3 linked regions of the Saccharomyces cerevisiae S288C genome follow. Changing the gene in region 1 together with any one later gene gives a genetic interaction. Each region holds a gene or a part of one and is shown in the gene's direction. Other genes may lie near its edges.

Evidence for each region.
Region 2: mutations in SVP26 (region 1) and MST1 impair growth when combined (synthetic growth defect), as found in Saccharomyces cerevisiae (one large-scale study listed by BioGRID).
Region 3: mutations in SVP26 (region 1) and YNR061C together harm fitness more than expected from each alone (negative genetic interaction), as found in Saccharomyces cerevisiae (one large-scale study listed by BioGRID).

The regions. Positions count from the first base shown.
Region 1 is NC_001140.6:464,298-469,710, forward strand, and holds SVP26 (Svp26p), read left to right. Parts: upstream 1-2,930; coding exon 2,931-3,617; downstream 3,618-5,413. Other genes in the region: YHR180W (uncharacterized protein), read left to right, coding at 881-1,372; RGD3 (Rgd3p), read left to right, coding at 3,922-5,413. UniProt on the Saccharomyces cerevisiae protein: Plays a role in retention of a subset of membrane proteins in the early Golgi compartments. Facilitates endoplasmic reticulum to Golgi transport of mannosyltransferases MNN2 and MNN5.
Region 2 is NC_001143.9:75,541-80,622, reverse strand, and holds MST1 (threonine--tRNA ligase MST1), read left to right. Parts: upstream 1-1,976; coding exon 1,977-3,365; downstream 3,366-5,082. Other genes in the region: ACP1 (acyl carrier protein), read left to right, coding at 86-463; type 1 protein phosphatase-activating protein SDS22, read left to right, coding at 741-1,757; MIA40 (Mia40p), read right to left, coding at 3,591-4,802.
Region 3 is NC_001146.8:741,164-745,375, reverse strand, and holds YNR061C (uncharacterized protein), read left to right. Parts: upstream 1-1,835; coding exon 1,836-2,495; downstream 2,496-4,212. Other genes in the region: PUL3 (Pul3p), read left to right, coding at 33-1,016; FRE4 (ferric-chelate reductase), read right to left, coding at 3,266-4,212.

The DNA.
Region 1 (5,413 bases):
CGCTCGCACCCACGCCCACTTTCTTCCAATATACTACGATATAAATTTATGTTACTATATGTGCGACAGTTTCTACTGCAGACGTGGATTGAGAACACGTAAAGTTTGTGCTGGGTAGAAATTGAAAGGATATCCCCTTAACGGCTGTGCTACCGTTTATGTTCGTCCTTATCCTCTCCTGTTAAACTGTTATAAAAATCGTTACATATCTTGCATTCTGTGACCAAGTATTTGTTGGCCTTAGATTTATATTAGGGCCATTGCAATTAAACTGGCTTCAGTTCTCAATGAACGAAGGATTTTTGGCACGCTAAAACTGGTGTGAAGGTATTGCACATTCAAATAGGCTCTTTTATTGATTTGTCTTGAAAGCTTTTGGAATAAGATCTAGAATAAGGACTACCCGAAAAAGAACAGGATACCCAGTAAAAACGCTATTGGGTACCTAGAGAAGCTGGTTTGTCACTGTCCACACAAAATGCCCTAATAACATTCTGAAAGGTTCTGACCGTACATCTTCGCCTGCGGTTGCATTGAGGTCGCCTCGGTCATAAAGTGAATATGCGACCCGATGGTTGCTCAAATGTTAAATGCAGGTAAAAAATAAGACCCCAGGAATTAAATAGTAAGATTTAATATATATATATATAACGGGCACAATTCGTTCATCAAACATGCAGCGGAGTTTCAAATTTGCTATAATATAGAACATGTTTAATTCAACCAATCGAAACGTACAGGCGCACACTATATTCAAGCAGTAAAACTACTATCTGAACATTGAGGTCGAATATATATATTATAGGCATAAAATCTCCTACCAAACTTGCATCAAACCTCTAAAATTACTATTATATATTCAACTTATTTAACGTGCCCAATGGAAATGCACTGGATAACCCTCGTTGCATTTATTGCTACATTCTTCAACCTAGCTGCTACCTCGATCAACAATAGTTCCCTCCCTGATGTTGATCTTACTAATCCTTTGAGATTCTTCACTAACATTCCAGCAGGACTTAATTTTAATGAAGTCATTTTTCTCGAAAGAAACGGATTCTATCTTGGTGGAATAGACTCTCCCTCAATCTACCACTTAATAAATGGTACAGCTGTGTATTTTGGGGATGTCAGAGATAATATCATGCCGGGTACAGTTGGCACTACTAGGAATGTTACAGATGTCGACTATGGCTCCTTACTGACAGAGTATGGTTATGAAGCTAATACAGATTATGTCTCGCGTTGGATCGCCACTCATGTAGTAATCTCTCCATTGAATGCTACAGAGTTTTTCCAAACACCCGTGCCAGTACCAGTGCCAGTGCCGATAACAATACTGCACCAACAGGTGAACTCAAAACTACATTAGTCAGGACCCGTTCAGCCCGTTAATCGTGGGAATCTCTGTACTGAGGGTCAACTAGTGTATGCGACTGTGATTCAGATAATACCTTAAGCGTCGAAACCTCATACCCCCTCATCTGGCTCGGGAGCCAGTATACTATATATATATATATATATATATATATATATATATAAATTCCTAAAATACTCTCACACAGAAGCACAATAATGAGTGACGCAAATGCAATTTATGACTAATTCATCACCAAAGAGAAATATGCAGCGTTAACTCTCAATCTAAGAATATGTAACAGATTTTAATCTCACGAACTAGCGACTTTAATTGTTGTACCTTATTCCTTAGTAACGTTAGTAGTGTCTAATATTTTACTAGACGGTGCCACGATTTCAGAGATGTTAGATCAAAATTCCTTTCTTAAGAACAAGGATATGGCAAAGTATGGTAAACAAGACGTACAAGAGTGTTAAAGATAATGCATAGAACACGCTCAGTGTAAGCAAGATTAGTACAACTGCTGATCTGGAGCCAAGACAACAAATATCACATCCCGTTTGTCATGTTAAAGATAGCTTATCATAAGTTAGCTGAGACACTCAACCTCATATAAAACAAAAACTGATTATTTTGGTGAAATAATGAATCTTAAAGCTTGATAGTATTTGTATTGAATTACTACTCACAAACTATTTAAAACATCAAGCCAAATATATGCGGAGCACAGAGAAATATTTGTGAATTATATCTTTTGTTGGAAAGACAAGCAACTATCCTAGCGACATTAGGATTGCCAAGACATCCGGTTTTATTCAGACCCTTACATCAGCAGCAGCACGTTCCATCTTTTCAAACTTCCTGCCAAACATTTATGAAGACATGAAACTCTAAAATGTCATCTATTTATAGTAGTCATATTACTATTATATTATTACATGCGGTGTAAGAAGATGACATAGGATTGGGACACAGTCATCGAACTTAATGGACGCTGAAGTGCAAGGATTGATAATGTAATGGGATAATGAAACATATAAAACGGAATGAGGAATAATCCTAATATTATCATGTAGAAATATCGATTCCATTTTGAGGATTCCTATATCCTCTAGGAGAACTTCTAGCATATTCTATATACCTAATATTATTGTCTTTGTGAACAATGGATTCCCACAAATTATCTCAAAATTCACAAATATCTCATTCTCGCATTCCAACAGTTATGTTACTCATTCTATTCGTTTGTTATGTGTGTTTTATGAACGTTTGGGATGACGTATTGTCATACTGACGTATCTTATTTTGAGATACAACATAGTTGTATTTTTAGCCTCCTTAGCTTAGTGGTAGAGCGTTGCACTTGTAATGCAAAGGTCGCTAGTTCAATTCTGGCAGGTGGCATTATACCGGTATTATTTTTTTTCCCTTTGTTCTTATTTCTCTATCATTTATAACTTTATGATTTTTTAAAGGTTGAATGGTCAATGTGAAAATTAAAACTAAAAACATATAGTTGACAAGTGAGAAAAAGAGCAAAAGGGAGAAAAGAAATTGTTAGAATAAAACCATGCTGTTAGAATTGATTTCTTATGCAGGAACCGTTTCAGGGTTTCTTTTTTTAACACTTTCAATTGCATCGGGTTTATACTACATTAGTGAACTTGTTGAAGAACACACAGAACCCACAAGACGGTTTCTCACAAGGGCTATTTATGGTATAATATTAATATTAATTCTGCTACTGTTACTAGACGGTTTCCCGTTCAAACTTACACTTTTTTCCATTGCATGTTACATAGTATATTACCAAAACTTAAAAAGTTTCCCATTTATTTCGTTAACCAGCCCAACTTTCCTATTAAGCTGCGTATGTGTGGTCTTGAATCACTACTTCTGGTTCAAATATTTTAATGATACGGAAGTTCCCCCACAGTTCAAATTTGATCCAAATTATATACCACGCAGACGTGCTAGTTTCGCTGAAGTAGCCTCATTTTTTGGTATATGCGTTTGGTTCATACCATTTGCCTTATTTGTTTCTCTGTCAGCTGGTGATTATGTGCTACCAACGACTAGTGAGCAACATATGGCTAAGAAAAATGATGACATCACAACGAACAACCAGCCAAAATTTCGTAAAAGGGCTGTTGGGTTAGCTCGTGTAGTCATCAACTCGGTAAGGAAGTACATCTACTCTCTAGCCCGTGTATTCGGTTATGAGATAGAACCTGACTTTGATAGATTGGCTGTTTAGGATTGCCTTTTTTTTTAACATGTAGTTAGTTTTTCTTTATTTGAATATTCTAAATAAGAAATATGTGTAATGCTCTGCCAACTATTTTGCACAGGAAAGAAAAATCACCAATACAATACTACTATATTTTACCCAAGTTAATACGGGAAAGTATATTTTCTTTTCCATATTTTTCTTTTTTATTGACGTTTGCATTTTTTAGAGCAACTAGTAAACAAAAAACCAGTCAGGCCCAGTAGATTAAGTATTGTCATTACATAGACAAAGGCAAGAGAAAGAGAGCATTTTCTTTCGGTCTCTAGTTATGTCTGTTAAAGAGCATAACGAAGAAGATATTATTGGTGATGAATTACAGAATTCGAGGCAACTCTCCATTGATTGCGACTCAGTTAAAATTTCACTAAGGAACACATATTGGACCAAAGACTATACAACAGGTATCAAATTATTCATAAAACATATGAAGAGAGAAAATGATTTGCTGATTAAAGACATCAAATTTTACAATGATTTTGTCAACAAATTTTGGAAACCAACATTGAACAATTTACAAAAAATGGAAGCAACCAATTCAATGAATAGCAGGCTGCTGGAAGTGATGAGCAAACAGTTTAATATAATATCAACAGAGCAAGTTGAAAGAGATTGTAAAATTCCATTGCAAGAACTAAGAGATCTTAATGAGAGCTTCCTTCGTGAGGCAGAAAACGATTTGTCATCTCGTTATTCAGCTTACATTAAGGATTTAGTCGCAGCTAAAGAGGCACTAATTGGATGTGAGAAAAGAGTTCAGTCTATATATAAATTGAAAAAAGCCAATACGCCAGTGGAAAATTCTTCCTCTGTTTTTGATAATGGAAAGGATAGTGCACCGTTAACCAGGTTGAACTTCGTATGCGAGTTTCCTTACACTTTAGACGAGAGGTTAAAATTTGAGGATTGCGACCAATTTATGTCATTTTTGCAAACCTTGAAGGGAAAAGTCATCCTGGAGAAAAGTGTCTTTTCCGTTCCAGGATTGTCAAATCAAAGTTTCCAAGGCAGGTCATTGATCAAAGAATTGAAAAAACTTGAACCCAGACTAAACCTGTCCTTATTTAATATCGATAGGATAGGTAACGAATTCATCCAACTGGGTATAATACAAGAATATTCCCTGAGTTTTTACTCTAGCAAAGTTTCTCAGTTTGACCAGGAAAAATACTATTACTGGAACAGTGAAGTCCTTGCTACGCAAGAGAGTAATGGTAATGCTGGAAACAGAAAAAAAAAATCGTATGGTGAGTTAACACACTCCGACAATGAACACGAAGAAAAGTCCAACGTTTCATCTATCAAAACATCTATATCCGATTGGATCCGCAAAGTTAGTCAACATGATAATGATGATTGCGATGCAGCGGGAAGTACAGATATGAATAAAAATGAGTGGAAGAGTTTAAAACAGCAACTTGAATCATCACAAGATATTTTTTTCTCCAAGTGTTGCCAGTTGGAATATTCTAAAGTGCAGTTGGAAAAAACCATTTATGATTATTGTAAAAATTACTCTAAAATGGAGGACGGAATCAAACGAGCTCTAGAATCATCAAACATGATGTTTCAACAAAAATGTGAAAAATTTACTGACTCACCTGTGTGTTCTCTACAAGAAGCACAACTGCCACAGGAAACTGCCAATGCGGATGTAAGAGGGTTTTTCCTCAGGGATAATGGCATACCCTTTCGCAGGTGGAATATCCTAGAAGCGAGTGATCCAGTCGACGCTTGCAAAGAAATCTCCATAAAAAGCGAAA
Region 2 (5,082 bases), on another chromosome or scaffold:
TGACGAAGCAAAAGGAAGAATAGTCACACTTGCAGTGTAATTAGTACAAACAACACAACTAACTCAATACAGCACCTTCCTTGCCATGTTTAGATCCGTTTGCCGCATTTCTTCCCGCGTGGCACCTTCTGCGTACCGCACTATAATGGGCCGTTCCGTTATGTCCAACACCATACTCGCACAAAGATTTTATTCTGCAAACTTGAGCAAAGATCAGGTTTCTCAAAGGGTCATTGATGTTATCAAGGCGTTTGATAAGAACTCTCCCAACATTGCCAACAAGCAAATCTCCAGCGATACCCAATTTCACAAGGATTTGGGGTTGGACTCCTTGGACACTGTCGAGCTGCTCGTAGCTATTGAAGAAGAATTTGATATTGAAATCCCTGACAAAGTGGCTGATGAGTTGAGAAGTGTTGGTGAAACGGTCGATTATATCGCTTCCAATCCCGACGCAAACTAAGTGTCCGTCCCCGCTCTATTATATTGTATCGTGTCACCCCCATGTCATATTATATTCGTATGTATATAAATAGATCGATTGACCCGTATATATATATATCTATATAACCAGCCCTGTTAATACTATACTTTACTCTCTCCTCCCTTTTTCTCGTTGTTTGTTATTTTGGCCCCGAATTATTATATATTAAGGTACTGTTGAAAAATAAAACATGTATAACCTTTTGAATGAAAATAGCAAGAAGTCGGAAGAAATCTAGCACCACATAGCCATCATTATGGATAAGAATTCAGTTAACAAAGATAGTGAAGAAAAAGACGAAAGACACAAGATTGAGGTTGTAGACGATACAAATCCTGACTTCATCACTGCAGATTCGGAACTGACACAAGATCTGCCTGATGATGTAGAGGTTATTGACTTGGTCCATCTAAAAATCAAATCGTTAGAAGATTTGAACCTTTATAGGTTCAAGAATTTGAAACAATTATGTCTCAGACAGAACCTGATCGAAAGCATAAGCGAAGTGGAAGTTTTACCCCATGACAAGATTGTTGACCTTGATTTTTACGATAACAAAATTAAACATATCTCCTCTAATGTTAATAAGCTCACCAAATTAACGTCTCTAGACCTGTCGTTTAACAAGATCAAGCACATCAAAAATCTAGAAAATTTGACTGATCTGGAGAATTTATACTTCGTGCAGAACAGCATTTCCAAAATTGAAAATCTGTCCACTTTGAAATCACTGAAAAACTTAGAATTAGGTGGTAATAAGGTTCATTCTATTGAACCCGATTCCTTCGAAGGTCTGTCAAACTTGGAAGAAATTTGGTTGGGTAAAAATTCCATACCAAGACTTATTAACTTACATCCTTTAAAGAATTTGAAGATATTGTCCATCCAATCTAATAAATTAAAAAAAATTGAAAATCTAGAAGAGTTGACCAATCTTGAAGAGCTCTATCTGTCACATAATTTCATCACCAAGATTGAAGGTCTAGAGAAAAACCTAAAACTAACTACTTTGGACGTGACCTCCAACAAAATTACCTCCCTGGAAAACTTGAACCACCTGTCAAATTTAACTGACATATGGGCCTCCTTTAACAAGATAGATCAATCCTTTGAGAGCTTGGGTGAAAACCTGTCCGCCCTATCACGCTTGGAGACCATTTATCTGGAGGGAAACCCTATTCAACTGGAAAATAAGACTTCGTATAGAAGAAAACTGACTATGAACTTACCTCCATCCCTACAGAAGATTGATGCGACATATATAAGAGGCTGATCTTGATCAAGAAATGATTTTTTTTTTATATACACACACAAACATATATATATATATATATATATAATGTAGGATTTTGATCCTTTTAAAAAAAACTGAATAATCCATCTAGTTAAAGTTCGCCCTTAAAAACCTCGAGCATGAAAAAAAGAAGAGCTGCTGAACTACATAAAGAAAAACATATGCAATAGCTAAGGGCACGTCCTTCTGTCTCGCAATATGAAAATACAACTTGTAAGATGGCATTGTTCTCGCAATGCTCTTTGGAATCGTGCTTTCTACTCTACGAGAAAGGCCACTAAGAACGCTTCGTCGGCGACTCCAGCTACTATGACATCCATGGTATCTCAGAGGCAAGATCTTTTCATGACAGATCCACTATCTCCTGGATCCATGTTCTTTCTTCCAAATGGTGCTAAGATTTTCAACAAATTGATAGAGTTTATGAAGTTACAACAAAAGTTCAAATTTGGTTTTAATGAAGTTGTGACGCCTTTGATTTACAAAAAGACTCTTTGGGAAAAGTCTGGTCACTGGGAAAATTATGCTGATGACATGTTTAAGGTGGAAACTACGGATGAAGAAAAGGAGGAATACGGTTTAAAACCGATGAATTGCCCAGGCCATTGTCTGATCTTCGGTAAAAAGGATAGATCGTATAACGAACTTCCCCTACGCTTCTCTGATTTTTCACCACTACATAGAAATGAAGCTTCTGGTGCACTGTCGGGATTGACTAGACTAAGGAAGTTCCATCAAGACGATGGTCATATCTTTTGCACTCCTTCCCAAGTGAAATCAGAAATTTTCAACTCTTTAAAATTAATCGACATAGTTTACAACAAAATTTTCCCCTTTGTTAAAGGAGGTTCTGGAGCAGAGAGCAATTATTTTATAAACTTTTCTACAAGACCGGATCACTTCATTGGAGACCTCAAAGTTTGGAATCATGCTGAGCAAGTACTCAAGGAAATCTTGGAAGAATCAGGCAAACCGTGGAAACTGAACCCTGGTGATGGTGCGTTCTATGGTCCAAAGTTGGATATAATGGTTACGGACCATTTACGCAAAACTCATCAAGTCGCTACTATTCAGTTGGACTTTCAGCTACCTGAGAGGTTCGATTTGAAATTCAAGGATCAAGACAACTCGTACAAGAGGCCAATTATGATTCATAGAGCTACTTTTGGTTCTATCGAAAGATTTATGGCTTTACTGATAGATTCTAATGAGGGCCGTTGGCCGTTTTGGTTGAATCCTTACCAAGCTGTAATTATTCCCGTCAATACGAAAAATGTGCAACAGCTAGACATGTGCACTGCCTTGCAGAAAAAACTACGTAATGAACTGGAAGCCGACGACATGGAACCAGTTCCTTTAAATGATTGGCATTTCAATGTTGATCTCGACATAAGAAACGAACCCGTAGGGTATAGGATCAAGTCGGCCATTTTGAAAAACTATTCCTATTTAATTATCGTGGGTGATGAGGAAGTACAGTTACAGAAATACAACATTCGAGAACGTGATAATAGAAAGAGTTTCGAGAAACTTACAATGTCTCAAATTTGGGAAAAATTTATTGAGCTGGAAAAAAACTACAAGTAACTTAAAATATATGACAAACTTGCCCTGTAAATAAAAGGATACGATTTGATGTATAGCTGGATTCATACAGAGACTAGACTCATCCGCCCCACAGATGCATTAATTCATGTATATTTCACATATTATACCATATGTAGTCATTAAACTAAGATAATATTACTGTATTTACATGTATCATCCTTTATACTTTTATACTTTTTACGTTCGGGAGATTTTCAGGAGATTTTAAGGTTTGGATTCCTCATTCAATGGTTCTTTTTTCACATCTGATTGCTCTGCTTTTTTCGCAGCATTTTCCTTTGCGCTTGAAACATTTGGCGCTGATTCTATTGTGTTGACCTTTACTTTGTCTTGAGGTTCCTCATCATCAGATGTTTCCTTTAGTTGTTCTGCATAATGCTCGGGGTATTTTCTGAAACAGTCTTGCATATGTTGAAACTTTTCAACACAGTCGATACCTTTTGGTTCAGCTTCAGAATAGACGAAGCAAGAAAATGCAGATTTGAACTCTTCACCACAGGGTCCATGGGCCATACCTCCCAAGCAAGGACAGTCCCAATTTATCTCACCAGTGTCTGGGTTATAAGCACCTTCGTGTTGAACCTCTTCTTCAGTAGGACCCATTTGCTTTTCCTCTTGTTTTCTTAGTTCTTCTTTCTCTTCATCGCTAGATTCAGATTGCTTAGCTGAATTTTCCGAGTCACTTACAGTTTTTTTTGAGGATTCTTCTTCTCCATTATTATCTTCAGTAGTTGTCTTGTCATCAGATTGTCCCTGTTGCGATTTTTCATCATCTGAATGTTCTGGATCTTTTTTTTCAGAAGATCCAGCATTGTTGTCTAGTGTTTTGTCACTAGTATTTTCTTCCGAGTTCTCAGAACTTATGTTTTCATCCTTTTGATTGTTAGCGGTGGCATTGTCTTCATTGGATTGCTCATCATCTTTGGTTGATACCTTTGATTCATCAGTATCTTTATCTTCGGAAGACTTGTTGTCTTCTTCTGCTAGAACAACCAATTCACCATCTTCAGCTACTTTTGAAGCACCAATTTTATCACCCCCTAATTGAGGGCCAGCTTCAGTTTCATCGTTTTTGCTGTCGTTGTCATCTCCATTTTCATCGCTTTTGCTGTTGTTGTCATCTTCATTTTCTGGTGATTGCTCACCACCACTGGAAAGCTCTTCCTCTGCGGTTTTATCGGATTCTACCTTCCTTGAGGCGAAAAGAGGCTTCCTATTAGGAGCAATAAAATATAAAGCACCAGCCATAGAAAGAATCCCCATTATAAAGCCCGCTGTTTTTTCCTGATTGGAGTTCCTACCGAACTGAGGGGAGGACGCCATGAGACGTCTTGTTTGGTGTCGGCATAACCCCCTTGCCACTTGAATTGACGGCCTGTTTCTGCACGCATTCCTGACGACTAAGTTGCGAAGCATTTTACTGATAATATACACTCTTTGGATCGAGCCTACTTCCAGTTGGTAATTGGTGTTCCACAATTTCAGCATTATATGTTTTTAAACCAAAATTCGGCTCCTTTTCCCTTTTTTTCTTATTGGGTGGCGTGCCGTACAGAACGATTGGCTTGGTGTGAAATCAAGAGCAAGCACAATAGATATCAACATGAACAATATACAAAAGTCTCTGGCACAGTTTGACTGCGTTAGACCAGGCTAGGGCATTTCTGAAGCTTTACGTATCACTAGAGAAGTTATT
Region 3 (4,212 bases), on another chromosome or scaffold:
CTGCTTCTGGTGCTATAGTGTTCAGTTACATCATGTCAATTGCACAAGATAGGGGTATCGTTTTCAAGCTTCTATCAATTTATCGAGCAGCGGCTGGTATCTTCATGGCGTTGGCACAATTAATTGTCATATTTTTTGGATATTGCGATTTTAAAATTAAAGGGTATCGCATTGCCTCTTACAATGCACCGACATTTGCCTCCAGTTTCATAATTCTTGCAGTATGCCTTTTATTAGTTGTCGTTCTGGAAAATCCTGAGGTTAAAGTTACAAATTCGGAAAATAGCCTTTTCAGTGCTCTGAAACAATTTTTTAGAGTCGAAAGAAAAAAACTCATCTCCTGCTTGATTTTACTATGGAGCATGTTCCTATCGTCATTTATTATGAGCGAAGTAGTTTATTTTATGCCACTATTCCTGACGCTCCACGTTAACTGGGACACCAAGTTTCAAGGCATAGCGTTTATGGTCGCATCTATACTTGGTGTGACTGGAAGCTATTTCGCTCCAAAGTTAATAAACGTCGGGTGCTCCTGCGGCAGAGCCAAAGATGGCGGATTAGAAGAGTCAGATACAACTGGAAGTGAGACCGTTGAGGTAAAGAAAAAAGATTCGCTGTACAGCGGTCAAGTTTTTCTGTCCATCTTTGCATTGTTTGTTTCATTGCTGGGACAAGCTTTTATGATTGGAGCATCCGAAGCCTTGAAGCATAAATCAATGCCACCCACAAATTCTGGTATATTTTTTTCAGCTGGGATGTCGATTACATTGTTAGGGTACAACTTTTTGGCTTCGAGCATTCCAGCCCTTTTTTCCATGTACATCGACCCCAAACTCAAGGTCCAGTTGATGCCTTCAATTGGAGCAATCTCTGGGATTGGTAAACTGGTGGCACCGATTGTATTAGCAGCTCTTTATGGCACAAGATTGGGGCTTTCAATTGCGGTTGGATTTGGTATGATTTTGGTAGCTGTTTCAATTCCACCGCTTATTTGGCTCAGGAAAAAAAGGTGTTAGATTTCCTTAGACATATACTGGTCCAAATCCAGCTATATATCGGGTGCCATTGACGTATATTTTTTCGAAGAACTTGGACGACAAAAAGTCAGCCTCTTTTTTATGGCGTTCTATCAACAAATTTTACATTTGGAAATGATAGTGTATTATCTTTACCATTTCTATAGTGATATATCCGGACTAATCTTTTAGCGGCCATAAATAAATATTACTAATATTTAAAGTTTCCTTCTGATTTATTCTTCTATTATATTCAAACCAGTTGTGGAAAAGTGTGTGCCTCTTTTATATGGCACTTTATACTGAATGATGTAATCAGTTTGCATGGACGCCAAAGCTTGTATTTTAACCAAGGTTTTTTAGAGTTTGGCCGCTTCAAAGTTAAAGACGTTAGGCAATTCGCATAACCTTTTCTTTAATCTCAATATATTATTCTAATCTTATTCTGCAAATTGTCATTGGAATTCGCTTCCGATTTGCTGTACTGCTTGCTGAATAATATCTGCTCTTGCATTGGCAGGTGAGAAATGAATACTATCTTTTAAGGATGTTGGTTTATAATCTCTCGGAGACTAAAAACCAACTTCTCAAAATGATTTATGTATTTGCCCAAAGTTAAAATTGCGTGTTTCCAATTACGTATGCGATATGTAAAAAAATTAAAAAAGTGAATGAATAAGCGACTTTTCGAGTTGCTATTTTTTTCTTGGTTCAACAGAAGTAAAATATAATCAACCATAAATAGGAGAATACAGGCGGTGCTTACAGCTTGATATTTTGTTACCAAGTCAAGATCTATAATAATAACTCAATACATATATGTTAAAGTTAACAACAACATCCGTTACTTTCCACGTACTAAGATATTTCCAACTTGGCTTATCTGTAACTAACTTGTTGTTAGCTAGTTTTGCCATAATCACAAACTATAAAGTGGATCGAATCCTTAGATTGAGCTTAGCTGTTTCAATCATATCTTCAGTTTATTTTGGGATTGTGAGATTTTTGCCTGTTCTGTTAATATTCGTGATGGAAATTGTTCAGACCGTCCTGTGGTTTACCGCTTTCGTAACTCTAGCTTCAAAATTTGGTTCTATGTCCTGCTCAAGTATGCCACGGGGTATAAACTTTGATTATTCAGGTTCTTGTAAGATTGCTAAAATAGATATTTTACCAGAAGCCGTTTTATTCATACTATTTCTCGCTACCACATATGCTTCTTATATCACAGTCCTATCTCAAGCTAAGGAAAATGGGTCAAGCACAAGATCTGTTTTGAAGGCTTGTGTGAAGGCATTACGTGATACCGTGGACCGCTTGGAGACCAGTCTGGAAGAGAGTGAGCCTCTTTTAGATCTTGAAGTTCAGGAAGATGCGAGGACTGAAACCGAAAGCATTGAGGATTCAACTGATAGTGAGGATAATGCTAACATCGAACAAGAGAAAGTGATTGATGGTTCAATTGAGCATTCTTCATGATGAACCAAATGTCTTGTAGTGCATGCTGTTTCTGACTTTGCTTAATGGATTTTTTTAGTTCGACGATGTTCCGTATATTTTAGAGGCACACACTTTCACTTTTCCTATGTTGAGTAATGAAGGCATTTGAAGTTACGGAACCTTATAGGTGTCAGCACGCTGTCATTCCAGATAATTTTGTGTCTCCCTTACCTCCACATATGAATTTGGAATACCAATAATTACCTCTTAAAAGGTTTCAGAAGACGTTTACTATTTAATTCTTAGCTACACATCATATAGTTATTAATTCAATATATTACTTTTGGTACTGCATTCTAAAACACTAAAGTATAACCTCCGAACATTATATAGGTGTTTATTGAGTTATTTTTTGAAGAAATAGTCCACTAGAAATTGCTTGGGATGCGGGATTCCTTTTTCTCTTGGTCCTTACATTATACACCAATTTTATCTTTATAAGAAAATACAGGTAGTTAAATTAAGTACATGAACGCTGAAGATCGATTGGTTCATATTCTATCGGCAATTGGTGTGTTATACAATTCAGAGTTACTAAATATGAAGCTTCTGTCATCTTACGTATGATTTTTCTGCTTTTTAATACGATTATTTTTCTGAAAAAGTGTTATTTGAAACAACTTAAGCCTCAGTAGTTAGAATCAATCAACAAGAGTCCCCTAAAAAAGGCGCAAACCATCTACGTTAATGAAATTACAACAGTTAGAGGATATTATACATTGAGTGTTTACTTAAATATGAAAAATTGTTCACCAGGCTTGGTATTCCTCCAAGTATTCAATCATTCTTGATGGGTTTCTGATAACAGCTTTGGCAGTTTGATTTCTAGCGGTGTCGACGAAAATAGGTGGTCCGCAACATACGACGGCAAGTGAACCAGAATGGTTAACAGATTCATTTAGTATTTCTTCAACATTTGGCCTTCCAACATGGAAAGTGGCAAATTCTAAATCGGAGATAGACGTGTCATTCAGGGAAAGAGGTAGTTCTGTATTTTCACTTTCAGAAGGAGCTTTTTCTGAATTGCTTAGACTAGATGGGGCCTTCTCTGCTGTCGTTTCACCGTTTTTGACTTCATTTGAGGAAATTTTTTCAGCCGAAGCTAGCTCTTGCTTAGAATTATAAATGTGAACTTGAACATTCAAGCCCTTTAATGCCATTAGTTCTTTCTTACACGCGTTGAGCATGTCTAGTCCTCTTACTGCTATGACTAACTGTACAAAGTTTTTACCGCTTGCAGCTGTTGTCTTTCCTAATTCAAGGGCATGAGAAATTGGACCGGGAAGCCCTGAGCCACCTGCCAACAATAATACATTATCAAAGCGATGGGCGGTGGACTTGGAGCCATAAGGGCCTTCGATAGCTAATCTCATGGATGCCTTGCCGCCTTTACGTTCAACAAAGTTTCTTACCAGTTTTGTCACACCTTTCTTTGCTTTCAGAACGATGACCAATTCTCTATCGTTTACGCAAGAATCCATCACTGTAAATGGATGCGACTGCCAGAAGCACAATGGACGCAAGAAGGAAACGAAAACGTATTGGCCTGGTTTTGCCTTCCAAAACTTCTTTGGTTTTTTAACCGTTACACGGACCAAATCAGATCCAACCAGTTGTAGATCTGCTTTAGGAAATCCTAAGAGTGCAATTCTGGTGATACGTACAATTCTATCAACTCCCCAAATTGCTATTGCCG